Linked DNA regions of Astyanax mexicanus. The protein of the gene in region 3 interacts with the protein of the main gene of each other region in a pairwise test. Links are inferred from orthologs where the notes say so. Each region holds a gene or a part of one and is shown on either strand. Other genes may lie near its edges. The genes, in order: ubqln4, dnajb11, ptn and chd3.

The links.
Region 1: the proteins of ptn (region 3) and ubqln4 interact in a two-hybrid assay, tested with the Homo sapiens proteins (2 studies listed by BioGRID and IntAct). The link is inferred for Astyanax mexicanus from reciprocal best matches to the Homo sapiens genes PTN and UBQLN4.
Region 2: the proteins of ptn (region 3) and dnajb11 interact in a two-hybrid assay, tested with the Homo sapiens proteins (2 studies listed by BioGRID and IntAct). The link is inferred for Astyanax mexicanus from reciprocal best matches to the Homo sapiens genes PTN and DNAJB11.
Region 4: the proteins of ptn (region 3) and chd3 interact in a two-hybrid assay, tested with the Homo sapiens proteins (2 studies listed by BioGRID and IntAct). The link is inferred for Astyanax mexicanus from reciprocal best matches to the Homo sapiens genes PTN and CHD3.

What each region holds. Positions count from the first base shown.
Region 1 is NC_064408.1:115,871,347-115,879,965, reverse strand, and holds the start of ubqln4 (ubiquilin-4), read right to left. Parts: upstream 3,576-8,619; 5' UTR 3,542-3,575; coding exon 3,395-3,541; intron 1-3,394. UniProt on the Homo sapiens protein: Regulator of protein degradation that mediates the proteasomal targeting of misfolded, mislocalized or accumulated proteins.
Region 2 is NC_064418.1:3,062,128-3,070,498, reverse strand, and holds the start of dnajb11 (dnaJ homolog subfamily B member 11), read right to left. Parts: upstream 3,349-8,371; 5' UTR 3,267-3,348; coding exon 3,193-3,266; intron 2,739-3,192; coding exon 2,582-2,738; intron 1,617-2,581; coding exon 1,519-1,616; intron 1,222-1,518; coding exon 1,089-1,221; intron 625-1,088; coding exon 482-624; intron 382-481; coding exon 299-381; intron 180-298; coding exon 122-179; intron 1-121. Other genes in the region: rabl3 (rab-like protein 3), read left to right, coding at 4,446-4,491, 4,743-4,834, 5,439-5,568, 5,810-5,924, 6,637-6,787, 6,963-7,034, 8,102-8,140. UniProt on the Homo sapiens protein: As a co-chaperone for HSPA5 it is required for proper folding, trafficking or degradation of proteins.
Region 3 is NC_064409.1:45,675,321-45,683,832, forward strand, and holds the start of ptn (pleiotrophin), read right to left. Parts: upstream 3,437-8,512; 5' UTR 3,237-3,436; intron 1-3,236.
Region 4 is NC_064415.1:23,862,378-23,870,151, reverse strand, and holds the start of chd3 (chromodomain-helicase-DNA-binding protein 3), read right to left. Parts: upstream 3,317-7,774; 5' UTR 2,945-3,316; coding exon 2,779-2,944; intron 716-2,778; exon of another isoform or gene 141-715; coding exon of another isoform or gene 91-140; intron 1-90. Other genes in the region: cytochrome b5 domain-containing protein 1, read right to left, coding at 4,581-4,811, 6,728-6,946.

The DNA.
Region 1 (8,619 bases), on a different chromosome or scaffold from region 3:
TTAATCAAATGAACATTTAAACACACACCTGTAAAACTACAGTGAATACACAAATAATCTATATAATCTGTAATCTATAAAATAATAATTCTAAATAACAAAATATATAAATAACCAACAAAGCCAGTCAGATCCAGGAAATTATTGAATCAGTAAATAGAGGATTAATCTTCAGTTTTCACTCAACATTAGAGCTTAAACACTTAAATTTGTCTATACAATCAGGTATACAGGTAACCTCATATTCTTTGATTATTTAATCTACTCTGAGTAAAGCAATCAAACGTATCAATCTTAAATTTAACACAATATAAATAATGACTCATAAAGGGCTAACATTTTTTCATTCATTTAAAATCAAACAGAAAGTTACCTCAGTGTACACAAAGATTGTGTAAACATATGATACAATGTTCAATAAACAGCAGATTAAGATAGCTTTCATAAACAAAAACACCAAATTATCAAACAGCATAATCAAATTAATACGTACCCAGAACACCGGTAAAAACAGAGACGGTGTATTATGTATTAAAACTTTATAAATAAAACTTCATTTCTTTTTACAATTCATAAGACGTACTAAGATGTACTGAGCATAAAAAAAACACTACAAATGTAACCAATAACTAATCAGTTATTGGCCACTATCAAATTACAGCATAGACAAAATACCAGTAAATCCACAAACAGTATACTATTAACATGTACTGTGAATATCAAACATTACCCCTTTTTTTTTCGTCCACATTTTGTAAACAACTATATGTTGTAGTTGTTTTTCTATTTTCCTTATTTATTTATTTGTATAGATTTTTATATACGTAGTTTAATTATGACATACGATTTATATTTGGTACGTATGCCATGTCTATTGGACCTGTAGGAAAATAAAAGAGAGGGTCCAGATAAAATAATAAAACAAACTACTAATATCTAACACAGGGAATCTCTCATCTGCACAGGGATGGACATTTTAGCAAGCTGACAAAATAAAGCAAAAAACTGAATAAAAAATAGTGTATGAAAAGTTGGCTGGTTCTCTCCTGCTCCTCGAGAGAAACACAAGGGTTTATTTTAATCAAGTTTATGTATTTGTTCATTCATTCATCTGTAACTGCATACCTTACATTTTTATTACCTTTAACCTGTAAATTTATAATTCCAACTAATTTCTTATTCTTATTATCTCATTTGTTTGAGATGTAATTTTAAAATCTTATTAAAATTCTGGGTCTTTATTTATTTATTCATTCTTTTTCTTTGACAGTCCCTTACCTGTGTACTGGCTTGGCTACATTGTAAATGAGTGAAACCCTCAATGTATTTCGAGTTTAAATAGACAGATTGAACCTGATGTTTATTAAAGATATAGACCTACAAAATGTATTACCAGCTCATTAATCTGCTTTAAATCCACATTAAAACATTAGTAACCAACCTAACTAGCTAGCTAACCATCACTGTTAATTAAATCCCCATTATCAACAATTAGCAGGTTAACCGGCTAAAACCGTGTTTATATCGCTAACTAGCTGCGTTTGAGTGAAACATCAGTGTTCATATAGTGAATTCAGGCCTAATTCGCCTCCTTTTGGACACTATAGGTGAATAAAACCCTCTAAAACAGGGGAAATGACTAAGTAAAAATTAGCAGCTGAGTTGTAGGGCTAGAACCTTCCGTAGCTAAGCTAACGGCTAGGCTAACTCAGCTAATATTAAGCTAATGCTAACAGCCTAGCTTACTTAGCGGTAGCCAACCGAGCTCGATCTGCCGTCGCCTCAGACAGTGCGCAGAACAGCCGCTACCCTCTCCAGAGAGACAAAACGAGCACTTATGAAGCAAACCTGCCGTGTTTAATCGCGTTAAACTGATAATAAAGGGTTAAAGTAGCGATTAAAACCTTTACACGCACAAAAAGAGGTTGTTTCAGTAGGAAGGAATAGCTAACTAGCTACGCGCTGCCGCCATAGAAGCTAGCCGGGTGTCCTGTCGATTTGTGCTACCCTTTCGAAACCTGCTACCACCGTCTAGTTACAATGTACACCTTACTATAGATAAGGCTGTGTAACCGCTATAAATAAATAAAACAGTCTTTAATATGGGTTATAATACTCAAAAAGGGTAAAATAAGCATATTACAAATTCCTTTTAAGCGGGAAAAAGAGAAATGTATATAGGTTCTCAATCTAAAAAGAATCTTAAGTAGCTAAAAGCCCGGAGGAAAATAATAAGCTAATTAACAATAAAAGGATAGAAAAGTGCAAACTATATACAATATATAAAATCAAATAAAGACTTATTACTAAGACATTATAAAAAGACAATACAAAACGTAAAAGAAAATTAAAAGAGAAAAATATAAAATCTGTCAAAAAAAAAGTACAATGAGGCTACCTAGCTAAAATGAACTATGAAATAAAAAGTGAAAATGAAAAGTTAAAATAAAAAAACAAAAACAGCTACAAGCTGAGTGGAGGACAAGTTTAAAATGATTTTAATTAAAATCGTGAATATAAGTATAGTATATGCTATGGGTTATAATGTTTCAAAATGCTAAAATATTTCTCAGAAAATCCTATTAAGAGGACAAATTGTAAAAAAAATATATATAGCTTCTTAATCTAGATAAAACAGATACAAAATTTTCTTAAGTAGCTAAAAACAATAAAAGGAAGGTGATGTTAAGTGTAAATAAAATAAAATACATAAAATCAAATGAAGACTGGACATTAAAATCAACAAATAAAAACAAAACAAATGATAATGGAATAGTCTAAAAGGCAAAACGGAAAATAAAATGAAACAAAATGTAAAAATACAATGACAAAAGCTACAACAAAGTATAAAATAAAAAATAACGAACATAAATAATAAACTAAATAAACTAAAATGTAAATAAACCTAAATAAAACAGTTACAAACTGAATGGGGTGGATAGAAATGAAGTTTAAAATGATTTAAAAACAGAATCATCACGAAAAACACGTCATATGTCTAAAGAACAATTCGTCCGCGCATGCGCAGAACGCTTGAGCTGCACAAATTCGACGGCTAGCAGAACTCGACGGAACACCAGGTATGAACTGAGAGCCAGGCCGACTTTCTCCTCTTCATTTTCCTCATAAATGCTGCGTTAAATCCGCACTACCCACTCAAAACCCGCACACACCAGTTAATAAGGAGTGTAACATTAAAGCTGTGTGTTCAAATGTGAGTTACACAGACGGTTTCAGCCCGAAAAGCAGCGCTGAACTGATCGCCGCTGATTCTGGATCAGCCGATTCATGTCGGACAGCTGACTGAGCCGCTCTCACACACACAGCTACACACCCGCACACACACAGCTACATGTACACGAACACACGGAGCGGCGGCGGCGGCCCGGGTTACCTGTGAGACGGACGCGTCCTCGGATATGGCGATCTCCTCCTTGTCCTTGGGCGTTTTGACGGTGACCATGATGATGGTGCCGCCGGTCGCCGCATTCTCCTCGGATTTTCCCTCCACGGCGGGGTCCGCGCCGCTGTTCTCCGCCATCTTTTCTCTGCTCTCTTCACTTCATCACGTCACCGCGAGAAGAGCCGCGAGAGCAGCGACAAGAGCGGACCGGAAACAGCGCCCCCACGCGGAGCCGCGCGCGCCCAGTCACACTTTTACACACACACACGCACACACACATATACATCTCTAGAAAAAATAAGAGACCACTTAAAAACTTAAAGAGTTTCTCTGAATATAATTCAGAGGAAGACGGATGATCACAAGCCATCAAAACAAGATGAACTGCTTGAATTTTTGCATCAGGAGTAAAGGCATAAAGCTATTCAAAAGCAGTGTGCAAGACTGGTGGAGGAGAACATGCCAAGATGCATGAAAAACTTTTATTAAAAACAAGGGTTATTCCACCAAATATTGATTTCTATACTCTTAAAACTTTATGACTATAAACTCGTTTTATTTGCATTATTTGAGGTCTGAAAGCTCTGCATCTTTTTTGTTATTTCAGCCATTTCTTATTTTCTGCAAATAAAAGCAAATTTATTTGGAATCTGGGAGAAATATTGTCCGTAGTTTATAAAAATAAATAAAATTAAACCACAATGTTATTTTTACTCAAACATATACCTATAAATAGCAAAATCAGAGAAACTGCATTAATATTACATTAATACACTTTGTGACAAAATATGAAAAAAATAACGAATTACATGTACTATGGGTAAATTTACTGATATTGACTTTGGTTACTTTGGCAATTTTTGGCGTTAAGCGTATGTTGGCCTGATGTTGGATGCAAACCGCTATTTGACACTGGACCTATACTTTGGTTGTCAATTGGTGTTTAATATTGGGCCTATGTTGGCCTGATGGTGGGTGCCAACCGATGTTTAATATTGGGCCTATGTTGGCCCGATGTTGGGTGTCAACCAATTATTAATATTGGGCCTATATTGGCCTGAAATTGGGTGTCAAACAATGTTTGATGGAACTAAAATAAATAAATAAATACAGAATACGTTCACGCATTAAATACACCATTCTGAAAGCAACAAGATTTTAATTATAATGGTTGTAATGGTCTTTGTACACTTTTTAAATGAATTTAAAACAGTTGAAGCACATCAGGAACAAATAGTTCTGTTTTATATGTTTTTTTTTTTCTATAATGGGTAAAAGAAGGCTCATGCTGATATTTATTAGATTCAGTATAAGGGGATCAGTTTACTTAAGAACATTGCCCACTCTGCCCTGTAGATGGTACCAGTACACCATTCACCTTTCCACTCACCAGTACCATAGCACCATCTCTTTACTGTAGGCAGCATGAGGTCAGATTTTGCTAAGGTAGAAATGTAGGAAGGATGCTGGACCTGACCAAGTCTTTTTCAGCTACAGTAAAGTTCTGTGCAGATTCATTTTGCACTAGTAGTTTTTGCACTGCAAATTTAAATTATTATATAACTATGTATTTGCACCTTTTGTATGGCTGGCATCAGTTACCCTCATAATATGCACATCAACTGGTGTTCATTGTCTAATGTGTTCAACTGCACTACCTCCATTACACACTACTGTACTTATACTTTATATTTCATAGTATTGTTTTATTTTATCCTTCCTTACTAACTGTTGTGTATTGTGTATATCTGCTGCTGGATGGCCAAAAGTTCCAAAACTATCTATCTGTCTGTCTGTCTGTCTGTCTAACCATTTGAACCCTAGGCTGTTTCTATCTAACCCTATGAACTCAGGTCTTATAACACAGTAATTATATCAGACAGTCACATGCCCTGATCTCTTTTACTCCAGAAGACATACGACTGCTCAAAAATATAATCATTTAAAATGTAAAAGGGAACTGATCATGTTTTGGTCAAAATTTTACCAAGTGCCTGTTTTTTTTTTTTTTTAACTTATTTTTGAATCTATAGACTTTAAAATATATTTACACCTGAGATATCTTTTCAAAAACTGTTAGACTAGAGTGTTTATGAGTTAAAATAATAAGAATATTGATGAAAGTTCATTACATAGCTTATTATTTATTACTTTAACAAAATACATGGAGAAACAGCATCAGGTGGATTTATTTATCTTGATAATCAATAATCACACCTCTAGGATACATGTAGATACTAAAAACCTGACACTCAGAGCAGACTATGCCTTTCAGTATTTTAATCAGGACACACAAAGAAAACTAGATACAAAAATGTAACTTTTCAGTCTAAATAAATAAAAATGTTTAGTGCAAAATAACTACTTAATAAAAATGTGCAAGTAAAATAAAAACTATATAAAGTAGTGCGCACACCATACCTAGCTTTAGTTTGAGTAAAGCAGGTAGTTTCACACTTTTTTTGTGGACACTTTTGAGTCTTTATTTATTTGGTTTGAAACATCATATAAATGTGTTTGAAGCACTAAAGGTAAATAATAGTGGTTGGGGCAGGAGATCCCACTTTATTATGTGTTTTTCTCAATGGGTTTTTTGTAGATGCTACAGTAAGTACTGGGATGTGATCACTATTTTTAGAAAGAGTAAGTTCTTCCCTTTCTAATCATATATGGATTATGTTAATGTGTGAAGGGATTCCTGAGTAATTAAGCTGAGAACACAAGGTGCGATTTTGGAAGGAAAATTCGTCCATAGGGTTCAAAGGGTTAAAAAGTGCAAAGGGCATACTGTAAATAAACCAATCATTGTGTCACTCGCCATTCCCTTTAAGAGCCAGGTGCGCTCTGAGTTTGGCGGATTGGTATTTTATACCAGCGCTTCTGCGCTTTTCAGCAGAGAAAACTGACTTGTTTGTTCACGCTGTACAGATGTATGAGCAGATCATTTACAGAAACAGCAATGTTGTTATTATTATTAATTATTTTAATAGTATTTAGTTTTTTGTTGATGTAAAAGTTGGGAAATATGCCAGAAATTGATCTGAACACACCTCACTTCCAGACCACCAATACAATTTTAGAGTGGCAGGGAGAGTGAGTGAGGGAGAGTGAGAGAAAGAGTGAGTGAGTAAGAAGAAAGGAAAGAAAAAAGAGACTGGGAGAAGGGGGGAAGGAGAGAGAGGATGAGAGACAGGGAGAGAAATAGAGAGAGAGAGAACAAGACAGGAAGAAGAAGAAAGAGAGAGAGAGAGAATTAGAGAGAGAAAGAGAGAGGGGAAGGAGAGAAATAGAGAGAGAGAGTGTTCCAGTGTGGCGTGTGTAGACGGGTCTTACTGTTCTGGAGGAAGGTTTACACAAATATCTTACACGAAACTCTGAGATATTGCTTTTATTAAGAAGCTGGACTGTTTCATAACTACAGATGAACTTAATCTTGAGATTACTCAAGAATGCATTTATCAAGAAAATTCCCAGATGTGTTATTGCTCTGTCTTAAAAACCAAGGACAATATTTCAATAACCTGAGAGTGTAGAGTATTATTTAATATCCTTAAATAGCAAGTGCACTGCATATATTGGTCCTATATTCTTGTGTTCTACTGAGTTTGTTCTTGTAAGGTGATTTCAGTCCAAGAACAAAAGTACATTTTTCAATTTTGTAATAAGAAAAAACCCAGACGTCTATGGGTAGAAGTTGTTTAGGTAACTTAAGAGGAAACTATGCCATATTAATAAAGAATAAACCAATTCAAAAAAGCTAATTCTAATTTTGGATTACATAGATAACTTTAACCCTTGTGTGGTGTTCATATTTTTGTTACTCGTTTACTTTGTTACTTGTATTTAATTCAGCAAAATTAAGCAATTAAAATGCTTTACACATGCTCGCTTCACCTAAATTGCAAGCAATATAAACAGCTTACATGGTTAATATTTGCCCTTTACCTTTCTTATGTTACATTTCTTTCAAAAAGTGCTAATCTTTTTTATTAGTTTAATAAAATGTAAAAGAAAATGAATTAAACTCAAGATATGAGTAGAAAATTTGTTTAGTTTCAAATTTACAAATGAAGCAATGTTTATTAGCCCTTGGCCAAACAGACTGTATGTAATATAAATGTGTAGGGGGGGGACAGTGTGTGTTTATCGAAAATGTGTTTTGATATATGTTTTTCACAAAAAATGAGCCAATGCCAATGAGTTTGAGTTAGAAAAAATATTTTTTAGTATCATTTGATGAAAAATGAAAACGGGTCCCACAGACCCGAACACCACACAAGGGTTAATAAAATAGCAGGAGTTGTTTTTTCTTAAATTATTTGGAATTTAAGAAATGTAAGATGTTCAGTTTGGTGCAGTTTATTTCTACCACTGTTTGCAGTATACAGGTATTAAGAAAATAAATAAAAGTTAAATATATTTTTGAATAAAAAGTACTAACTGTCAGCTTTTTGATTACTTGATTACTTTCTCTGTTTATGTCTACATATGATTAGCAGCAGTTATCAAACATTTTATTTATTTTATTTTAAACAAATGGTGCTATTAGTTCTGCTTTCAAAAAAGAAAAATGTTGGAAATGGGTAAAAAATGGGTAAATTTTATTCTTCTATTTTGCTAGCCTTAGCATGGTAATATTTTAATAATAGTGACTAACCTGAGAGTGTAGAGTATTATTTAATATCCTAAAATAGCAAGTGCACTGCATATATTGGTCATCCGTTCTTGTGTTCTTGTGTTCTACTGAGTTTGTTCTTGTAAGGTTATTTCAGTCCAAGCACAAAAGTCCATTTTTCAGTCTTGGTACTAAGAAAACCCCCAGACGTCTATGGGTAGAAGCTGTTTAGGTGACTTAAGAGGAAAATATGCAATATTAATAAAGAATAATACTATCAGAACTAAGTAAATTCATTTTTTTGGAATACATAGATAACTTAACTATTAATATAGCAGGAGTTTTTAAGTATTTAATTAAAATTTAATTTGGTGCAATTTAGTTATATCACAGTTTACAGTAAACAGGTATTGACAAAATACATAAAAGTTAAATACATTTTTAAATAAAAAGTGCTAACCGTCAGCTTTTTGATCACCGTCTAATTTACTTTCTCTGTTTATGTCTACATATGATTAGCAGCAGTTATCTAACCTATTACCTTATAAAGATCCCTGGGCTCACGTAGCTTCATTAAATCCAGTTCAGTAAGGAGAACAAT
Region 2 (8,371 bases), on a different chromosome or scaffold from region 3:
AAGGCATAAATGATTCTATTTAAATTCAGTTTTCACTGACATGGAATGTTTCAATAGTTGCTAGTAATAAATTGATCCAGTCATTATCATAAAAAAATTAACTGAAATAACCAATCCTTACTTTAAGACTTTGATACGGAAGCGGAGATCTCCAGGCTCTCCGTCAATGTGTGGCTCCCCTGCACACAAATGACCAAACATATATTGCTGTTCTCAGATATATTTTTAACCACATACCAATACCTGCATTCTAGAACTTTGTATAATAAAATCATTAGTTTCACTGCGGTTAAAATACCTTCACCAATGAAGGGATATTCCATCTCATCTCTGACTCCCTGCTCAATCTCCACCTCTAGTGTCCTCTCTTCATTCACAAGCCTGCAAAGAGTAAAAACACACTGTAAACATGTGCGCACCATTTATCATCTATTAGCAAGTTACATCATTATTATTTGAGGAAAGTGGAAGCAGAACTTACTTAATGTTTGGGCATTCATCACAGACTACTTCCTGGGTCATCTGGAAGCGGCCTGGCCCGAGCTGTGTAGTTCTCATTTCCTGGCGACAGTTGCATTTCCTTTTTCCTGGTGCCTCTTTAGCAATTGGCTTGTTTCGCACTACCTACATAGTAAAAGAGGGAAATGTGAAGAGAGGAAATATGTGACAATAAGAAACAAGGAAGAACAGCATCCTTCCCATGCTGAACCAGAGGATATGACACGAAATGTATTAAAGGAAAAATCAGTTATAAATGCAAGTGAGTGTGTAAAATTGTTACAGAAGTCCAATTTCCAAACACTGGGTAGAGATTTCTGCCCTACCCACTCCTCCCCAGATGTGAAACTCATGCGGGTTGCCAAATTGGCACATAATGGTAAGCATCGAGTAGCTGTAGTCTGTAACTAATCAGTGAAATATATATGGTGGTAATATGGTGGTAAATAACAGATTACTGTGATGTTTTGCACAGCTCAAATAAGAATACGATTTAATTTAAAACATATTTATATAAAACATATTTATATAAAACACTTTATTAAGGAGTTATGGAATTATTAAGACCAGAGAATTAGTGGTTATCTTACCTCAACAAAATTTCCAGAATAAACCTCCTCCAGTGTAACTTCCAGGTCCAGGATAATGTCATTTCCTCTTGGGATGTTCCGGTCCTGCTGCTGCCTGTTTCCTCCAAACATAAACCCAAAGTCCCCAAAGAAGCTGCAACAAACATAGAAGAAATGTGAGTGTCATGATAGTCATATACATAGTGACAGTGGGGGCAAAAAAGTGCAGTGTAATACTACTGGACAACTGTATGAACACATACACTATATCCTCATTAAAAAAAAAAGTACTATAGCTGAGCTCTTCCTAAAGCTGTCTAGAACAGCCAGGTAGGTCTCTAACTTTCTGTTACACAATAAATACATGTGCAGTTTAACCGCATGTACTAAAATAAAAGGGAATTTAAAAAATGTCACCCCTTTAATAATATAATATTGCTTGGACACTTACCTGGAAAAGATATCACCATGCGAGCTATGATGACCTTCCTTCAGACCCTCCTCTCCATAGGCATCATACTGTTTCCTTTTCTCCTCGTCTGACAGCACCTGAGTTCAGATTACACAAGTCATTCATTAAGTGGTATCAGAATATAATAATTCATCAAGACAATAAAGAGGACAGTGGCTTTAACCTAATCTGGTTTCAATCTGTTCCTGATTAGTTTAATTGCCTTCTGATGTTCCTTTAATGATTGGAGAGATCAGTGCTGAGCAAGAAAAAGGCTTACTGTCTGTACACAGTTAAAAATTATGCTGTATTATTTGTACTGTAATTTGATTAGCCGTGTCACTGCGATACAGAAATTGTCAGAAACTGTAACACTGTATTGTGCTGTCTATTTTTGTGGGCGGTGCTAATCTGCTGTTTGATTGTTTGACAAATGTCTATTCTGATAGAGAACATATCTCAATTTGTGCAAAAAAGCGCAAAAACACAGAAGATAGAAGAAAACAGGGGTTAATGTATTTGAGAGCATATTAGTATATTTGGATTTATTTTCATGAAGCATGATTAAAACAAAGAAATAATAGGAATAATCTACCAACACAACCATTTATTACTTCCTGTGCTTTTTTTTTTAGTTTTGAGAACCTTATTTTTATCTGAAAAATGAATCAAAAGCGCCTGAGAAAACTGCAACTGTTAACTAATCTACCGCCAGAGCAGCTCCACGTCGTGTTTTCAATACTACCAGTCAGCTGACTTTTGACCAATCAGACGTAGCCACACATTTCACTCCACCAATCAGATTCATCCGTGGTTTCCCCAACACTGAAATGATGCCTGTCATACATACAGCTAAAGCCTTGGATATTATATTACAGTGACACACAAACAAACAAACAAATAAAAAAATTTTTTATATATATATACACATGTTTAGCTGCTCAAATTTGAAGAACTTTATATTAAGCTAATAAATAATAATAAACAGTATAATTTATATTAAAAATCACACTTCCAGCTTTTCAGCTGTGTGTGGAAATAGAAACAGAGACCAACAACACACCTCATAAGCAGCTCCGAGATCTGCAAATTTGTCCTGGGCACTGGGGTCATCAGGGTTTCGGTCAGGATGAAGCTGAAGTGCCAACTTTCTGTAGGCTTTCTTGATGTCTTTGATAGATGCTGATTTGCTAACCCCAAGAATCTTGTAGAAATCCCTCCTGAATGGATAAAATATTTGCAACAAAAGTGTGATTAGGAATTTAGGTTATATAATAAGCTAGCTGTATAATTTTAATTATAAGGCGATCATTGTGACTTCTATCCAGTAAAAAAAGAAAATCTAAGAAATTTGAAAGAATGAGAGACAATGGCTAAATACAGATGGTGTATCTTATCTAGGTTATCAGTTTTATATGTAACCTCTCCAAATACCTAACGATAATCTAAATACAGCTACAGCATTAAGGTTATTTATTTTATTCTTAAATCAAGACAAACGTCCCTCTGCGTAGTTAAATAGGTACATTTGATAGCCCTCCACTACAGCACACATGTAGCTCCAGAGAGTGGAGCGGCGCAGACCAATCACAGAAGAACATGTGTACCAGCCCAGAGACCCGCTTCACACAGCGGAGAAACTAAATACACAGAGAAAACAGCGCTGCCACCTACCCAGCCAGTACTGTCGCTACTAAATATAAGAGCAGACAGCATATACTCGATAGTTTCATCCCTCCCGCGGCCATAGGTCTCGCTTTAATCCCGAAGCGCAGTAAAACACACCGGCTTTCTGTGTGTTGTGTAGTGCAGTGACCGCTTCCTGTTCTAGGAGAAAGACACGCCCCCAATTTTCTTACCGGCTGCAAAGAAAGAAAAAATAAAAGTCCCTTAAAGGCCAGGCATTTCAAATTAACGGTTTAAATATGCAATTACACAGAAAGTATATATATAATACTAGCTATATAACGCTATTTTCATAACAATTTGATTATTACTATGAAGTAAAAAATATAATAAAATAGAAAAATCAAAGTCTCCAAGAACATTTCAAAATAATTATAAATAAAGCTCCGGTAAAGAAAAAATAAAAAGAATGACATGAAATTCAATGAAATTAAAAAATGATAAGTTTCTCTGATTTGACAATTCCTAACTATATCTTTAAGTAACATGAATATTGTTCTTTTATTGTATAAACAACTGATAACATTTCAATATTGTCGTTTAGAACATTTATTTGCAAAACAACAGAAAATATGCAGTAGTTTCGTACAATCTCAAACAATGAAAAAAAAAATCAAGGTCATATGTATAAAAATACAATATTACTAATGTTTTAACTCAGAAACAGTTCAGAAATCAATCAATATTTGGTGGAATAACCCTTATTTTTAATCATCTTTGCATGTTCTCCTCCACCTGTTTTTCACACAGCTTTTGGGTGATGTTGTGCCACTCCTGCTGAAAAGAAAAAAAAGTCAAGCAGTTCAGTTGTGATCTTCCTCTTGATTATATTCCAGTGTTTTTTTTTTATCAAGATATACGTCACAGTAAAAATATTCGTAAGTATTCTAATAACAAGTAGATTATTAACATTAAGTTAAAAAAATAAAAATAAAAAAAAATTTTGAACTGTTTATTTTAAATAAAATATGTTTATTTTATTTAACGTTTTCTTTTATTTCTTTTTTTTCAAAATGAAAGGTAACATTTGTTTGCAATTTGAGCTGCACTCTGGGTTATGTTTGCAAAGTAATAAATAAATAAAGTTAGTATTAGTGGAATTAATATTTTTTTTTATCTTATGCTGAGGTAATTCGACTTTTATTTTGCCTGATTTTCTAACAGGAAGTAGTGCTGTGTGCTTTCTCGGCGTCGCTAGTGACAGACAGTAGCTAGGTAAGGTTAGCTAACGCTAGCTAATAATGGCTTCTCTGGACAGAGTAAAAGTGCTGGTGTTGGGAGATTCTGGTGAGACACAGCTGTTAATGTTACACTATAATTGTTTATATATGATTCACGCCGTGTTTTATGTCTTGTTTTTAATCTGTCGGCTCTTTTAAACTGCTCTAGTGATACTTTAAGCTAGCACTGAGTAAACACTTGCAGGTTGACAAGCCAACCTAGCTAATGTTTAGCTAGCTCTGGCAGGGAGTTAAAATGTTTAATTAATTGTTTATTCGCCAATTTACATCGGCTTTAATCTTACTGTTTGGTTATAGGCGTTGGGAAATCTTCTTTAGTTCATCTGGTGTGTCAAAATCAAGTGCTGGGAAATCCTTCATGGACAGTAGGCTGCTCTGTGGACGTCAGGGTAAGGTTGACAACTTGGTTAACTTATACAGCTCATAAAAAATAATGAGATCACTTAAAAATTAGTTAAAAATTAGAGTTTCTTTGATTTTTATCAAATTGAAAACCTCTGGAATATAATCAAGAGGAAGATGGATGGGCACAAGATCAAACCAAACAGAACTGCTTGAATTTTTGCACCAGGAGTAAAGCAGCATAAAGTTCTCCAAAAGCAGTGTGTAAGACTGGTGGAGGAGAACCTGACATATTGATATTCAGAAATATGGATTTCTGAACTCTTAAAACTTTATGAATATTAACTTTTTTCTTTGCATTATTTGAGGTCTGAAAGCTCAGCATCTTTTTTTTTATTTCAGCCATTTCTCATTTTCTGTAAATAAATGCTCTAAATAACAATATTTTCATTTGGAATTTGGGAGAAATGTTGTGTGTAGTTTATAGAATAAAACAACAATGTTCATTTTACTTAAACATAAACCTAAAAATAGCCAAATCAGAGAAACTAATTTAGAAATTGAAGTGGTCTCTTAATTTTTTCCACAGTTAGAAAATACTGATTTAAAATTGATCATACAGATTAAATTTATACTAACCTCACCCTGCAGGTTCACGACTATAAAGAGGGCACGCCAGAGGAGAAGACCTATTACATTGAACTGTGGGATGTTGGAGGTTCAGTTGGAAGTGCCAGTAGTGTCAAAAGTACCAGAGCGGTTTTCTACAATTCAGTTAATGGTAAAGTAACAAAAATGAAGCACTGGAGAGTGCAGATATACAACATTTTGGATGCACCTCTTCTCATTTAATGTTTTCTTTATTACTTTACTTTACTTTATTACTTACTGGATATACATTGTGTATTGTTAGTAATATTGTGTCATGTTGGGTCATTGAGTTGTGGCCACCTCTAGTGAAAATGCCTGTATTCTTTAATATCGCTGGTAAAATATGGGAATGTCGTTTTTTTTTTCCTCAGGCATAATTCTAGTCCATGACCTGACCAATAAGAAATCCTCCCAGAACCTGTATCGCTGGTCGATGGAGGCACTAAACAAAGACTCGTCGCCTACAGGGGTGATCGTGTCCAATGGGTAAGACACTATCAGTTTAGGTGTAAAGGCTGAAATGATTATCTGTGTGAATAACTCAGTGTTTAGGCTTGTAATGTATGTATAACATGTCTGGGAACAGAAATTCTAATGTAGAAGTTTTAGTGCACATTTAGAAGCATGATGTGGCAGTGTTTTAGTTCCCTTCACTTTGTTACATAATTCTTTGTAATGTATGGACACAGAGAAATAATCCAAAATTACTTTTAACATTTAAAAATGACAGTTTCAATTTGCTTTGTCTTAAATCTAGTAAAATCGCGTGACAGTGACTGCACTGTTCTGTAATTTTATTAGATATTTACTTAATACTTACATCTTATGCCCCCATTGACCATGTGATATTTGGTGGTGGTGTAGTAAGTGTTAAGTGTATCAAACACAACATGTGCCGCTGTGGTTTAAAACACTTAGTATACTAACTGGCCATTTTATAACACCTACGTTACACTTTGTAATCTGATATAAGGTGTAGTAAGTCATGCTCAACACTTGATTTCATTTAATCTGTGTTTGGTTTCTCCCCCACTCCCTCTGCCATGTACATGGCACCGTTCTGAAGGGTAGTTAAGAAGGACTGAGTTTGGGCCTGTTTTGATGCAAAAATCCACACTTTAGAGAAAAATACTGCAGGATGATTACCTAAGAATAAATGTTATGCCTTGTTTTATTTATTTATTATGTGATCACACAGGGATTATGACAGAGAGCAGTTTGCAGAGAACCCCATTCCTCTCCTGATTATCGGCACCAAATATGATCAGATACCTGAAAACAAGCGCAGTGATGTTCTGACCCGCACCGCCTTCCTGTCTGAAGACTTCAACGCAGAGGAGATCAACCTGGTATGTGATTATAATGTATAAGAATTATGTTAATTAGCTCTTCACAATGTAAAATGTTCTACCTTGTAAAAAAAGAATAATAAAATGTATTTCTTACACTTTCATCTCTATTTGAATAGTAATTTCTGATTATCTATTAATGATACTGTTTTTTTTCTTCTATTTATACCTTTAGGACTCCACAAATCCACGTTATTTTGCTGCTGGCTCATCTAATGCTGTGAAACTGAGCAGATTTTTTGACAAAGTAAGATACTTCTATATAGATACATAGAAAACAGCTTTGGATTTTAATTTATTTATCAAACTAATTAATAATCAAACATCTTTACTGTTTATTCTCTTTACTTCTTCTAATGCTTCATAATATTAGTATGTACTGGAATATAATCTACCATAGTTGCAGTGGTTGTTTGCAGATGAATGTGAACCTTTTAGCAGCACCAAGCCTAACATTAGTAGTGACAGTTACTTCAGTATAAACAGTATTAACTCCTTTTATTCACCCTAATTTCAGAAGAGATTGACCAGTGATTGACCAGGTGTCCCAATACTTTTGTCCATATATTCAATTTTTTTCTAAATTTGAAGAATTGATCGGCAGAATGTTGTTTAATGAGCTGATACTAGCAATAAATATACAGATGCAAGAAAAAAAATATGTAAACCCTTTGTGAATACTCGGATTTTTGCATACATTGGTCATTAAATGTGTTCTGATTTTCATCTAAGTCACAACAATAGACAAACATTGTCTGCTTAAACTAAAACCACACACAAAAAAAAAAAAATATATATATATATATATATATATATATATATATATATATATATATATATATATATATATATATATATATATATATATATGTTTGCATGGTTTTATTGACGCAACATTTTAACATTCACAGTGAGTGGGGGGGGGAAAAGTATGTGAACCCCTAGGCTATGCAGATCTCTAAGGTAATGCCAAAGGGTTTACATACTTTTTCTGTATTAAACTGTATTTAATGCTTAATGCTGAATAATTATAAATTGTATTATGATTTTTTTATACATCTGTAGCTTACAGGCAAATATCTTCTCAGAACTCTTATAATAGAAGTAGTTGGGGAGGTGCAGCTATGTAGAGTGAAAGATTCTGTTGTGTAGACATTTCTTAGAAATGAGTAATAATAGGAACTTGACCACATTCGGCAGATTTAGTAGATCTTTTAGCAGATTATGATGAAAAACCCTTGTGGTCAATTCTCTTTCACTTCTTCAGAAGTGAAGGTTTGGTTGATTTTGTTCTTTTATCTTTCTGATTAAAAGGTTATCGAGAAGAGATACTTCACCAGAGACCCCAGCCAGGTGAGAAAACCACCCTGTTTATAGTTCTGATTGTGGCTTTGATGCTGCATGGCCTGTGCAAACTGTGGTCACAAATGCAGCACTTCAACTCTTTTTTTTACTCATTTCAACAACGTTGTTTTTTTTATTTTTGAAAAAAAGTATTTTTTTTTTATTCTGATTTAATTTTAGTTTAGTCACTATTAGCAGTGTGTTTTTCAGGGTTTCTACGCTCATTAAATTTAAAAATAG
Region 3 (8,512 bases):
GCACATTAGCAAAAACGTAGCCCTACATCATAGACCAATTTCTAGAGCCTGACTTCACAGAGCCCTAGGAAAGTAGTGGGAAATCTTGGCCAGATCCAGCCCGAGTTTGGGTTTATTTTTATTAAATAGAGTGTTAAAATTGATATTTTTAACTACAGTTTGGAGTTGTTTAAATAAGCGAAATGTGTTCAGAATGATGTTAATGAACATTGCAACTGAGGTTGGGCTCCACTCCGAGTCTTTTTCTATTGTCAGTACTTCTGCATGCACCAATTGGTCCAAAAAGCACCAATTTAGATCCAAAACTAAACAAAAATACCAGTTGGGAAATGTGAAGCCCTTTAACACACTTCCCACTGACTTCCCAGCTTCTCTCAGAGCACCTGAACTTCCGCTGGCAGTAATCCTGACTCTAAGCTGATCTGAGGCCAGTCTTCCGGATGGGCCTTTGCTGGTTAATCTCTCTTTCATTAAATGCTCACCATGTGTTGATGGCAAAGAAATGAAGCGGCTCCCTTTCAGAGTAGGCCTCACCGCTGCGGCTTTTGTGTGCGGAGGAATGAAGCAGAGTTTGGTCTGGCTGGAGTGACTGTGGCCGAACTGAAAATAACTATGGCAACAGCAGGAGTATTGAGGCCCTTTCTCTCTCCCTCTCTCTCTCTCTTCCTTTACAGGAGCAGCAGCTCAACTTGGTATCCCTTCCATTCCAATTCCAGTCAGGAACGACCCACTTTATAGCCTTCCAACACACACATGCTCAATGCAACATAGGAACGAACTGCTCTGCACACTGCAAGCAAACATACACATCTAGTCACACAGATATAAAAATGCAAATAAGTATTTGCACATGAAGCGCAGTGCTGTTCCAGTAAACTACAATATTCTCCACAGGTTAAAAAAGAGGAGAATCAGGTCTGCATATACTATGAGGGGCTTCGTGATAAAGAGGAAGGTGAGACACATTTTATTGCCCTTATATTCATATAACTCATTGCGGGTTCCTCAGGCAAGAAATAAACAAATCTACACTGGCTATGAATAAAAGCTCAACCACCACATTAAACTACAGAATGTTAAGCCTGTTTTAAAAAAGAAACTTTCTGAAATGAAAAAAAGAGAGAGTAAGAAAAATAAACGCCTTAAAAATATGTAGCTAGGCACTGCTAGACACCTTCTATTCAAGGGAAATGCAATTTGCTCTTCAATACATGCCAAAAAAAAATGAAAAGGACGAAATTGAGTGCTGTTCTAATCTCCCACTCAATGTCCAAACTGCATGTTCCCTCTAAGGGAACCCTTCCACCTTCTCTTTTGTGTTTTTGTTGTGTCTCAGACTCAGAAAGAGAGACAGGCTTGCTCTGTCTGTAAACGAGTCGTTATCTAGCTAATTAGCTAACTGGTAGAGACTGAAGACTGCTAAATTTGAGATGCATACTAGATCTGTATTTCCATACAAATCTACTGACTAACGTAAAAACTTTTAACAATGCTCAATTCAGACTCGCAATCAATAGACTAAACTCTGAATTGCACCTCGGAGAGTCGACCTAGACTCGCACCCCATAGACTCAACTCAGACTTGCACCTCGGAGAGTCGACCTAGACTCGCACCCCAAAAGACACAACACAGACTTGCACCCCAAAGACTCAACTCAGACTTTCACCTCGGAGACTCAACTCAGACTTGCACCTCAGAGACTCATCCCAGACTTGCACCCCAGAGACTCAACTCAGACTTGCACCTCAGAGAGTCGACTCAGACTCACACCCCATAGACTCAACTCAGACTCGCACCTTAAAGAGTCAACCTAGACTCTCACCACAGAGACTCAACTCAGACTTGCACCTCGGAGAGTCGACCTAGACTCTCATCACAGAGACTCAACTAAGACTCGCACCCTAGAGACTCAACTCAGACTTGCACCTCGGAGGGTCGACTTAGACTCGCACCCCATAGACTCAACTCAGACTTGCAGCCCGGCGACTCAACTCAGACTCTCACGTCAGAGAGTTGACCTAGACTCTCACCACAGAGACTCAACTCAGACTTGCACCCCATAGACTCAACTTAGACTCACACCCTAGAGGCTTGGCTCAGATTCACACCCCAAAGACTTAAGACTCAACACAGACTCCATAGACTTAACTCACTTGCACCCCTATTCCCCTGAGATAATAGACTTGACTCAAACTTACACCCCAGAGACTCCAAACACTCACACCCAAGAGACCCCAGAAGTTTGCTATGCAAAAAAATCAGACAAGTACACCAGAGATTTCAGAGACGAAGTTGCTTCTCAAAAATGACTCCCTCTTCAGATTGGAAGAAGTAACTAGTGAAGATTTTTGCATCTCAGAAACAAAAAGAGTTTAGTACTTTATTATGTTTTTAACCATTGTGGTATACTTCCTGAGTAAACTTGTCTCCATTTGTGCCCAACTTAAGGTGTTGTTACTCCTGCTATAATATACTGCATACATTAATTTAATTGATTTATTATTATATTGTGTCAGAATTTCAATTTGAAACACCAAATCCCTGGTATTGTGACAGACCTGTCATAGTACTAGATAAATATATCTGCTGATGTTCTTAACCATGTACTGATGTTATTTAACAAAAGGTTTGGATTATGGTTAAAAAATAACATAATTACCCAAAAAACATATAACCGATCCACTAACACAATATTAATCAACAGTGTGCCAAATCTATTAGAATCACAATATGTTACAATATATCACACTATTTTGTCTTTACTCTTGACATATATCATTTGTAACAACAATAAAGACTAGCACATTATCTCTCAGTCTTGTCACATCATCGGCGTGACATACGGAGCAGGCCTTGAGCGCTCACAGTGACCCTCACTTCATCTGTGGACTACGCTAGCTGCTTGACCAGTGCTGAGGAGACACTTGTAGGACACCCTGTCGAGCCCTCAAACACACTCGCGCCCTCACACACTCGCGCAAAGCATGGAAATTCTCTCTGACCACAAATCTCCCTCTGAAAGTTCTCTGCCTGTCTCCTCCGTGCTCACACATGACACGAAGTGATACATTCAGAGTACACAGCCTCTTCCCTCAGGCTCTGCGCTGAACCTGCTGTCTCTCCCCGGTCTCTCCTCACCCCATCCATCTACCTCTCTCTCTCTCTCTCTCTCTCTCTTTCTCTCTCAACACTTCTCCATCCCATTCTTCTAAAATCTCTCTTACGTGGTACTTACTTCTAGTTTGGTGTTTCAGCACTCAAAGCAGTCCTGACCGGCTCTTCTCATCCACTTTTTTGCGCTGATTGTGTTTTTGGCTCTTTGTCACTGTGCCTTCTCTTACACATTCACTCTCACTGTCTGTGGTAAACTCACGCTCTCTGAGCCACAGGGTTGTGCTAATGGTGTCTGTGTGTGAGTGAGTGAGGGAGTGTGTGTGTGTTGGGGTGTAGAAGAGGTGGGGGGGGGGGTTGTTGTTGTACTTGGGTTATGCCTGTGCCAGGGAGGGCGTGCTGAAAGAGCTGCTCTCAGCCCCATGATCACACCCTCATTAACACAAGGTCACCCCTGGGACGAGAGAAACAGAGGGAGGGAGAGAGAGAGAGCGAGAGCAAGCTGGAGAGTAAGAGCAAGAGAGAGAGAGAGAGAGAGAGAGAGAGAATTGTGCTGTGGATGGCTGTCAGTCAGAAAGATGGATAGTCTGAATAAACTGGTAAATGAAAAGGACCAGCTGTTCTTTCCTTGTAAACTGCAACAAGCATTCACTCTTTAAAAAAAAAAAAGAGTAAACTCCCAAAGTTCTGGAGAAATATTTACTTGCTATAGAAGTGCTGAGTCTTAGTATTAAAGTATGTAGGATTAAAGGACCAATAAAGATTATATTTTTAGTACTAAATGATCAGGATGTGTCATCACATATTAAGGGAACATGCAAAATTCAAGCACTGTCATCAGCAGAGCTAACTAGAGCTGTGTATTGTAGAAAATCTGTGTGACGTGTTGTACAGTCATATGAAAAAGTTTGGGTACCCCTATTAATCTTAATCATTTTTAGTTCTAAATATTTGGGTGTTTGCAACAGCCATTTCAGTTTGATATATCTAATAACTGATGGACACATATTATTAATATTTAATATTTAGTAATATTTCAGGATTGAAATGAGGTTTATTGTACTAACAGAAAATGTGCAATATGCATTAAACCAAAATTTGACCGGTGCAAAAGTATGGGCACCCTTATCATTTTATTGATTCGAATACTCCTAAATACTTTTTACTGACTTCCTAAAGCACAACATTGGTTTGGTAACCTCATTGAGCTTTGAACTTCATAGCCAGGTGTATCCAATCATGAGAAAAGGTATTTAAGGTGGCCAATTGCAAGTTGTTCTCCTATTTGAACCTCCTCTGAAGAGTGGCGTCATGGGCTCATCAAAACAACTCTCAAATGATCTAAAAACAAAGATTGTTCAACATAGTTGTTCAGGGGAAGGATATAAAAAGTTGTCTCAGAGATTTAACCTGTCAGTTTCCACTGTGAAGAACATAGTAAGGAAATGGTATATCACATGCACAGTTCTTCCTCATTTCAATCCTGAAATATTACTGTGTCCATCAGTTATTAGATATATCAAACTGAAACCGCTGTTGCAAACACCCAAATATTTAGAAGTAAAAATGATAAAGATTAATAGGGGTGCCCAACCTTTTTTATATGAATGTATCTGATTACTAGCTCATGACAGGTATGTCGATCATATGTCAGAAACCAAAATTTAGACTCTATATTGACTCAATTTAACTACAAATGTGATTATATGTTGAGTGATTTCTTATGTCCTAAAACAAGTAACGGTAAACATTACCTATGGCCGTTCCTAGCGACGATAACTATTTAGCTGATTATATGCATCATGTCCAAAGTTGTCTTCTTCTGGACTTCTGGGGCTTCTTGCAAACGGTCCAGAAGACTAACTCTGCATTCACACTGTCAGGCAACAGAGTGACAGGCGACCATGCATTTCCTATTGGAGGACGTGATTTGTAGCAGTAACATGGTAACAAGCAGCAACAAAGTGACAAAGGCAATTAAGCAAGACTTTCTCTTGCTTAACTTTATGCAAATTAATTATGATGTGGTAAAGTGATAGTCTTCACATCATTTTGCTTTTCATCAGCAGCCAGTTTGGCCATGCTCTCTTTGGTGAGTAAATGACACACTCTCCCCACTTTACTACTAATGTGATGTTGGTCAGCACGGGCATCTGTTAACTGATGTATCAGAGATGTGTTGCTGCGCTTTCCTTTAAGTGTCCTTTAAGCTACTCAGTGTGTCACACCTTAGCCTGTGTCTGTCCAGTGTCTTTTTTCTTTGTTTTGGTTCCTTCCTGCTCCTGTCCTGTTCTCTATTGTTTACCTGTTATGTTTCCCAGCCATGTGCTACTGTTGTGTTTGGTCTTGTCTCCGCCTTAGCCCCGCCTTGTCATCTGTAACCCCTCCTGTCTCATTTGTAACTCCACCCCTCTTTACCTCACAACAGGTGACCCTAGTGTGTGCCTGTATATAAATACCTCATGTGCTCCTTTGTTTTCTGTCGTGCTTTTTGTTTGACCGTTTCCTGTTACTCTGTCCGGATCTTGTTTATCTGTTTTGTTTAGCCTCATACCTGCTGTGTTTTTTCTCTTCAGTTTTTCCAGGTTTGCTTTGTATAGTTTGTTTCATTGTTTGCTATTTTTGCTTGTTTGTTTCAGTCTTTTAGTTTGTCCTCTGTTTCACAGTGTTTTGTTTTAGTTACCTTTTATTTATATTATTCCATAGTGTTTTGTTCTTTGTTTACTCTTTCTAATATTGAAAGTAAAACCGACTTGCGCTTGCATCCTGCCTCCTCTTTGTTACACAGTGATGCTGCATCAGTGGCAGTTAAAAAAAAGAAGACAGTAACTGACTTCACATGTGTCCTCCTATTTTTAGGGGTAATTAATATGAATGAAAACTGGGTAATTGGCTCTCCAAATTAGGGAGAAAATGGGGTGAAATAAATAAATATAAAATGTCTTCTTGTAAGAAATATTGCCAAACTCTGAAATGCGCTTTATCCAAAAGATGCCAAGAGGCTGCTGCATGCATTAATAACCTCAAGGCTGGACTACTGAAATGTTTTGCTGGCTAGATGCTCATGTGAATCGTTAAACAGGCTCCAGACGGTTCAGAATGCAGGTGATATATTGCTCATCACAACTTTATCCACAGACAATGACCACACTACTCCTGTTTTCTTATCCGATGATTATTAAATTTGCTTTCTTTTGAAACAACCCATCACATTCACTTAGCTCACAAAACACTGGCCATTTTTCATAGCTCCCTAACTACGAACAACAATCATGTCACAGTTTGGAACTCAGACATACTCTTAACCTTCAAATATAATTTAAAAATCTATGTCACAACTCTATGCTGTTAAAAAAATAAACTAAAATTAGATATAGTTTCCATAAACAGCAAGTTTTCTATGTCTATTTAAAGGCATATTGCTGATTGAGTTTGGTTAATGTTACATAATTACTGTTTTTTGTTTAATTCATGAGCTGTTTATATGTTGTCACTGCTTTCAAACTTATTATAGATTTCTAATTAATATTGTTGTAGCCTGTTCAAATATTATTGTTAAAGCAGCAATTGGATATTTCTCGATTTTGGCTTCTCTTACAGTTGAGTAGAGTGTACAGGGTTCGTACGGTCAAGAAAAACCTGGACAAGTCATGGAATTTCAAAACAGCAATTTTCAGGCCTGAATACATTTTGGAAAATTAAAAATACCCAGAAAGTTTGGGAAAAGTAATAGAAATTTGCTCTACAAATCTTTGTGATTCAATTTATTGACGGAGAAAGGCTATTTTGAGCGAAAAAAAATACATCAGCTTAGTTTTAGGACTGTAATCAATTTGGATTATAGTTGATAAGTTGTTTTTTGGTTTTATTGTCCATGTCTGCACAGATGTTTTAAGGATCGTATGGTCATGAACATTTTCCTAGAAGTTATGGAAAAGTACTTAAAAATGTATTGGCGCTCTGACTTTGGCGTATTGATATCTTAATAGCGCAGGGCCTGACCTGCTTGTACACACTGAGAAGGTGCGCCAGCAGCTCATTTACTGGAACAGCAATGTTATTTTATACTTTATTCTATTTATTGTTGATGTGTATGTGTGTGTAAGGAGTGGGGGTGTACACTGCATAGCTGCAGGGCTGTTGACTGTTGTCAGTGTTTTAATCGGTCAGTGGCGCGCCTGTATTTCCCAGACCACCAGAAATATATCTGAACACACCTCACTTCCAGACCACCACGCCCATCAGTGTAGATTTATTCAACAACTCCAATGCTAGTTTAACAGCGTGGACGTAAGGCCAGAAAATAGACTGCTGACAGGGTGTAAGGTAGCAACTGTCTAATAAATCATATTACCTCTGCTAGGCAAAGCCTAATTTTACAGTCATTTTGTCATCCATTGTGTAACAGATTGCAAAAGTGTCAGCTTTACTGCTCTGACAGCCTGTATCGTTCAGTCTGGGTAAAGATCTAGAAAATACATTTTTTCTGTCTCTTTAGAGGTTCAGTTGTAAACATGCACAGCTGTATTTAATAGTCATTCCCCATAAACGATGCTAACAAATACATCAAGCATCTCATTGCTGTTTATAAGCATCCTTCTTACTGTGTCTCATATAAAACAGATTATTTATCTGGAAACGTTCTATAACTTGATGCAACATTAGTCACTGTTTACTGCTGCACCTGCTTTGATCAAGATTAATGTTCTTGCTTTAGAAATTCTCTCCTACATTTGGAATGCAGTCTGTTTCTTTTATACAAAGGCTTCTTTTTTGTGGTAAAATGAGGCCTTTGTTGTTGATTTCACACTCATGAGTTTGGCAGCTTCATTGGAAATTGCAAATTATGTCTATACGCAGTGACTTGTGCACTAAACGGGTATAGAAACCGTGTAGAACACGTTCTTTTGCTTCTTTTAGACAGACAGGTGGAGAGTTATCTGGACAGATGAAAAACACCCATAACACAACTAGATCCAATTTTCCTTTGACATCAAAAACAAAGCTATTACTTAAATTATCAGTCTTTGATTATGCTGAAAGAGAAGAACATTCATTAGCACACAAGTATGTTCAGAATACACAGTTTTTTTCTTGCAGCAGGGGTGGCAGAAATTAACCATCAAAAAGTGTACTTCACCATAAGACACAAAATTATTTTTCCCACACTTTTTATATAGGATTTTTTGTTTCTTGCTAGTGAACATTCATACATGCAAACTTATCGGCTCTGGCTAACAGCCCTGCGACATCAGGAGGCGGCGAGATGGACAACAATTAGTAACATTTTAAAATAAAGACATTTTTACACTAATAACAGTCTTTGCAACAACATATGTCACTTTACAACATGTGTAATGGCCTGCTAAGTGCAGTTCAGCCACTAACCTAGTCTTAGAG
Region 4 (7,774 bases), on a different chromosome or scaffold from region 3:
TGGGGGGGGGGGGGGTTGGCATATAAGAGAGGTGGTGACTAAACAGAACTGACACTAATCCTTTACAAAAGCTGAATATTATCCTCATAATCACTTCCCAATGCAATTAGACTGAACAATGGGTTGACACTTGGGAGCATCGCAGGGGGTGGAGGGTAGAGCTGAAGAAGAGATCCCTTCCCTGACAATTCAACCTTTGACCTACAAGAGTTAAACTTAAGAGCAAAGCCATGTTTCTGGGCTGACTGCTCTCAAGAGCCAAATTACAGGTGCTCCAAAAAGTGATTGAGTATGCTTACTACACTTGTAATTGTTGTCTTATGTACAAGGTATCACTCAGGAGCTATAGCTAGCTATAGCTGTTTAGCCTTTTGCCTGAAAGTTAAAAAATGAGACAAAAAAATGTCCCGGATTAAGAGAACTTACAGAGATGTAGTTTAACGAGCTATAGCTAGCTTACTGTGCATATCACCTTAATATGAATATGAAATGTTAAAAGTATCTTTTAAAAAAGACACCAAGTCCATCAAATCAATAAGATACCGCCTTAAAAATGTTACCTAGCATCTTAAAATAATAAGATCAAAATAAGAATCCCCAAATAACGACTTAGAATCCCCAAATAACTACTTAGTTTCCTCAAATAATGACTTAGAATCCTAAAATAACGACTATCCCCAAAAAACGGCTTAGAATCCCGAAATAACAACTTAGTATCCCCTAATAAAGACTCAGTAATAACGTCTTGGTTTCTCAAAAAATTACTTAGAATCCTAAAATAACGACTATCCCCAAATAACCACTTAGAATCCCAAAATAACAACTTACTATCCCTTAATAACGACTTAGAATGCCAAAATAACGAATTAGTACCAAAATAATTATTTTAAAATTGTTAAGCGGCATGAATGGGCTCTCACAACCATACTTAACAAATAAAACCCTTTCTGCGGTCATGATACAGTATAAGGACAGATACGCGCTGTCTGGTTAGGGGTTTTCGGTCCTGTGAGGCAAAAAAACAAGCTAATCGGTTGCCATTGCACTCAGTAAAATTAGTTCTCCTGTTCTGGTCCGCCTTTGTTGCTAGGACGCAGCGGGCGGGCGAGCGAGCGAGCTTTTTTTCTCGCGCCCGGCTGGCCTCGCGCAGCCAGAGGCGGCAGCAGCGCGCACGCGGGTCTCGGTGATCGAGAGGCCGCGTCCGCGAGCCACGCGACGCAAAGCGCGAGGAAACTGCGCCTGCCCTCCTGCTGCCGCGGGGCCTCTTCACCTGGGAGCGGGGCGGAGAGGAGCTGCGGGCTGCTGGTGGGAGTCACTAGAGGGGATGCAAAGGGCGCGAGGGGGGAACGAGGGGTAACGTTAATTGATTCGCGCGCATCTTTGCACCCTGCGCGACTGCGAGACCCCTTTCTATGTTTATTTTATTTTTTTGCACAACTGAAAAAAGGCCCCAATGAGTGCAATCAACACATCCACACATGCGTGCATCCATGCATGCACGGCGACCAGTTATCACACAACAGTGTAATGAGGATATGCATTGCGCCACCATAAAGTGTGCCCAGACTTTTGTTTTGATTTAGAAACGCATCTGCATGTAAACAGGTCATCTTAGTATGGGGCTAAGGCACATGCCAAACTCTTATTGGTATCCAAATATTAGACATAGCTAGCTATATATGTAACTTATAGATAAAATCTATAGTTACGAGCAGTATTTCGTAATAGTGTGAAATAATATAAACACACATAGCTAACCTAACCTAGCTAACTAGCTATATCATATGAATGTAGACAGCACTGCTTAATATATGGTTCCTTGTTATGTCTAACTATTACTCATACTTATTAGCTACATCTTTATGATCTATGGATAGGTTATGTGCAGTGAGTGTACCATCATAGCTATTGTGTTGTCTTGAATAGCTAAGTATACAAACATTGCCAACTATAAAACCACCTATGTATACATTTTCTCATGTGGATTTGTGTTGTTTGAGTGTTGTTAGTGCTAATGACAAGTTAATACATAAACTGTGAGCCACTGTACTCTCCATGAACCACCTAGATTAGCTACCTAGTTAGTTAGCTACGTTAGCTAGTTGGTTAACCTAGCTAAGCTTAGTTATCTTAAAAGGGAGGTCTGTCCTGCCCTGAACTGTGGCAGTCAGAGTGACAGTGGGTCGGGTCAAGTTTATTTACAGTCTGTCACAACACTGACCACTGTCTCAATCAACCGGTAGTCCAGCGCTCTGCACTCTTCTGCAACCCCTCTAGTTAGTTAAGATAGCTATAGCTACTACCTATAATGCACTCGCCATTCGAGGTCTGGGGCAGTCGTGCGTAGTAGACATAACCTCAGGCAGTTTTTGCAAAACCTTACAGCGAGGAATCATTAAAAACGTTCAGCCATAAGCTAGGTTAAGAAGACAATGCACATTATTTGGCAATAGAAATTGGTGTTAGCCGGAGCAAGTGCTGAATGGCCCAACGGGACAGCGATGGGGACACTGGGAAAGTTTAGTTAAACTAACTAAACTCCACGGGGTTTATCTAGAGGCTACGCTTTATTTAGCACAGAAACGCAGTGAGCGAGTGGGCTATGCCGAAGCAGGCTAACTTACTGAACCTAGCTAGCAGTGCAGATGTTGTTGTCCCCCCGTGTTACGGGTCACACACACACTTTTTCCCGCTATATAACGCCGTAGCTACGTTTCCTCACTTTCTCCTCCGCCGCGCGCTCGCTCGCTCCCTAGCTCCCCCGTGTCTGCACGGTACCTGGCGCGGCGAGGGCTGCAGTTTCTCGAGGCGCCGCCGGCGAGTTTATGTCGCTTGCGTTCTCGTCCAGGTCCCCGTCGTCTTCTTCTTCTTCATCAAAATCTCCTCCCTCGGAATTAACCGCCATGCCCTCATCTTCCTCACAAGAACGGAGAGGAGAGGACATTATATGCCTGTCAGCGACCCCGTCCTCGAGATCAAAAAGTGGATTCCTCCCGAATTATGATATTTATTGAATATTCAAATCGACACACAGGGAAAAAAGTGGGGGGCGTTTTGGAATATTTTACACTACAAGGCAGAGAAACAAAGATGGCCGCCCTTATATTTATTTTTTAACAACCCCCCCAATAAGAAAAATCCCCTTACATAAAAAATGGCTGACTATATTATTTCAGAACGCCCCCCCTCCTCCTCCTTTCTCTCTCGCACTCTCTCTCTCTGTCTCACTCTCTCTCGTCTCCCCTCCCTCCTCTAAAAAACATTCTCAGTATTGTTCCAGCAGCAGAAAGGGGGTGTATGTAGAGCTGAGACTAAGTTGTTGTATTTTATTAACTCGTCATTTGCTCTGAGTGTTTTTGTTTTCCCTCGGTCTGTCTGTCTCTCTCTCTCTCTCTCTAATACTTGCCTGGCAGCTAACCTAACTCTGTGCGTGTCTGTGCGCGCGCACGCGTGTGTGTTGCATACTGTTGCGAGTGCACGCGGACGCCAGCGTTCACTCTCGCCTTAACACTCCTTCTGCACTGCAGAGAGCCTCGCAAATCTAACAAACATGGCTACCTTAATAGTCTTAAAGGGCCCCGCCGATGTATAAAAAAATATTCTGGAGTGAAAGGCTTTGCGCCGCGGTCTCGTCTGGCTGCAGGCTGGAAAGAACGGACGGGGGGGTTGGGAAGCTGTGCCGCAGCCATGCCCAGATTTACATCAGATTGTGTTGCTTAAAAATTAACCATTTAAGGCGCGGATGGAGGGAGTCAAACACTTATTCATTCCCCTTAGAAAATGGACGATTAAAAGACCTGTAAAAACATCCCTTTCTGTGTGATTTTTTTCAAGGAATCAAAACAGTACAAGTACAGTAGAACAAAATTTACCCCAGTGTCCAAAAGAAACTTGCATGCTGTTAAATTTCACTGACTGAACTCAAGTGTAACTGTGCAAAGCAATAATTACTTGAAAATACCTCCAGACAACACAGTTTCCCCTTTGTCCAAAAAAAAAAAGAAAATCATCTGTGTTGACCCTGAATATCAACAAGTAATTTTCACTCTCAATGGTATGTAATTAACCTGGGAGTAAATGATAACCTTAGCTCTAATTAAATGTTATGTCAGTGGCTCAGTTTGAAAAATGCACCATGAAATGTAATGCATGTAATTAGTATGCCTAAATTGTTTTTGCCAAGTTAAATGGTTCTTCACGTGTAAAAAAAATAAAATCAAATTTGCAGATGATTTTATTAGCTTACATTTTTAATATGTTTCTTTATAGTTCTATATAAAAAGGGGCAAAGAAAGTCAAAGAACCCCTGTTGCAACACTACATATGAATGTTCTAAAGCGCAAGCTACTGAATTTTACATGAACATTCACTATAGCAACTGCCAGCCACTGTTATTAAGGTGAGGTTACGGCACTATTACGGTTCTACTTTGAATGATGGGGTTTATCTGGGCCAAATACAAAATAATGGGGTCAACAATTAACCATACATCGAACACTCTTGTAATGCTTTACTGTAATGCAGTTACATCATATGATGGGGATAATGAGAAGTTCATATAATGTAAAATTGCGATCAGGTCAAAGTTCAGTAAGGTCATCGTTGAAGTACAGGCATATGGACTGAGTGTAGAGGTCACAATCCATGCGACACTTGTAGAATTCCTCATCTTCATCTGGGATGCCATTTTCTTCTAGGGTCTTACTAATATCTAAAATGACACCGTCATGCTTCCAGGTGTAGCTGGCCGCATGGGAGTTGTAGCGCAGGTATCGCTGCAGGATCTCATCTAGTGTTTCCTCAGAACACACCTGGCCAGAGAACAAAGAGAAAAAAAACTTTCAGTTACTAGTAATATTCCTAATATACATGGTTAACACACATGGTTAACACACACAAGTAAAGCTTTTTTTTCCCTTTAAGTAAAATACATTCACCCAAATTCCTCCACATATATGAATTATATAAGCAAAGCCTCCTGGATCTGCTAAAAGAGAGGAAAGGAATTTATGTCAGTTTGATCCAATAGTGGTGCACTGCCAAGAACCACTGGAGAGGGAGGGGGGAAGCGGAGGGAGAGTACAGAATGGGGTGGCTGGGGGAGCAAAAGAGAAAGACAATAGGAATGCTCTGTTAAGCCTTTGGACCATGCAGAATAGCCCGATGCCAGATGGGTCATGTAGCAGGAGTGAGCTTGCCCACCCTGCAGTGAACGTGGTGGCCATTGGACTGCACAGCTGAAGCACAAGCCCAGTCTTGGACCACTTACATTACCAGAGGCATAACATCAGTAACATTTCCCTTTGTCAAGAAGGAGAATCAGATGCAGACTGCAAGGGGAGGGTGAAATGAGCAAGGCAAAAGAAAAAAAAGGAAGGGGGGGGGGTCAGAAAAAGTAACAAGAAAGAATAGACCAATCCTGCCCTCTTCAGCATGCGGGAGCACAGTGCAACAAACCTTCCTGACAAAAGGAAAGTTACAGACACGTATTTATTTTTAACCATGCACATACAGTACACTACATGTCCAACAGTTTGTAGACATATCACATCCTTTAAATTATGGGAAGACTTTCTCCAAAGTACCTTTTTTCAGTATATATTAAATATAAAATAATTTATTTGTGAAGTATCCCAAATATAGGCATTTTCAGCACCCAATTCCAATAGTCTTTAAAGGGTTAAATCGGTTTGCATTGTACAAATCAGAAATTGCACATCTGAATAGCGAGATAAAGATAATGATGTGACGCTGTGATGATTTTCTGTACACTCACTAACAGAAAAAGCACCAAGCTACTGGAATCAAATGTAACCTTGTTGGTGTGACTGGAACAACAATAGATAGTGATCAGGCATAACATTATGATCATTCCAGTTTTTGCAACCATAATCCATTTTTTCAGCTCCACTGAGCACTCTGTTGTTCTATATTTACAGACAGTAGTTAATCTGTTTCACTGCATACTTTATTATCCTCCTTCTACTCTGTTTTTCAAAGGTAGTGTGTGTTGTACTGGCACGAGTGGAACAGACACAGCGGTGCTGCTGAAGTTTTTAAACACTCCAGTGTCACTGCTGTACTGAGAATAGTCTACCAACATTATCCTTTGAAGAGCTTCCTGTGGGCAATGTCCTGTGACCATTGATGAAGGACTAGAGGGTGACCAACACAAACTGTGCAGCAACAGACGAGAATCCGTCTTTGATTATGTCTAATAGAGTAAATATTGTGTGGACACACTGTTTAAAAACTCACTGCTTTGCCTGATTCACTTGTGCCAGCATAACACACCACCACATCAGTGAGATACTGATACTGAATGAAACAACATTTACTGGTCTGACAAATCTTGCTTTCTTTTATAACATGGGGAAAGCAGGTATGCTCACATGCGGGATAAACTGGAACAACAAATCTGATCTGTAGCAGCTCTACCTAACAACTTCCAGGGCCTAAAGCATCTGCTGTTTTATTGCCAAATAACACAGGGCACCTTCAGAGGTCTGGTAGAATGAGCTGTTTTGCTGGCACGCAGAGCACCAACAGCACATTAGGCATGTTGCCATATCGTTTTGGTTCATCGCTGGATAGTCCATACTTGGCCATTGGGATTATTAAAAGGCAATGCATGTTTAATAGAGAAACACACATTCTCTGGCATCATAAATTTGTGAATACACCTTGTATCCTGTAACACTTTTGCCATGTGTTCAGTGTGGCCTACCTCCAGGCTCTGCTCCTGGGACGTGAGGGTGTTGATAATGCGAATCCAGCGGGTCTTGGCAGAAAGCAGGCCCACCTCATAGCGGCTGTCCCTCCACCACGGCCTTCCGAAATCATTAGCCCAATCAGTGCTAGGGCAGGGAGGGGGCACATGCAAAAAGCGCCCTCTAGGGGTGAAGTATTTCACACAACACGATAATGGATCGATGTGGGTACGAATCTGAGCAAGAAGACATAAAATAAAATCACTCTACTTGTGTCTACTGATGTCCAGTCAATTCTGGTGTTATTTTAAACAATTTAAGCCATTTAAAATATGACCAGAGCTGACATTGTTTTATTATTTTGTGCCTTAATAAATATGCTAAAATACTCAGTAATCAAGATTCCAAACAGTCTAAAACAAAATGCTAAGAATTTTCAACAGATTTTTAGAAATTAAAAATAAAGATTAACTTAATATAATAAATCTTTGACACATAATTAATTATACTGTTGGTCTAACGTCAACATTTTATATACAATAACAATATTACAAACTGACATATTTCTGTGCTTTCCACGTTTTCTGCAGAGGATGGACATCCCTGAGAACAGGTCACGTTTTAATTATAGATTTTTGCAGATTTTATGCAGTTTGTATAATAGGTAATAGGTAAAAAATATTGAAATTACATATTCTACATAAAACTGAATGGTTATTACTCTAAAAATAGAGTAAACATAAAAGAATATACTTATTTTACTTACATGAAATATGTATATCTTATTTGTATTCTACTATTTTGACATATTATTATTATTATTAATATTATTACTATTATTATTGTGGTCTTGCAATGTAGAAAGGGACATTATTGGTCTAACGTCAACATTTTATATACAATAACAATATTACAAACTGACATATTTCTGTGCTTTCCACGTTTTCTGCAGAGGATGGACATCCCTGAGAACAGGTCACGTTTTAATTATAGATTTTTGCAGATTTTATGCAGTTTGTATAATAGGTAATAGGTAAAAAATATTGAAATTACATATTCTACAT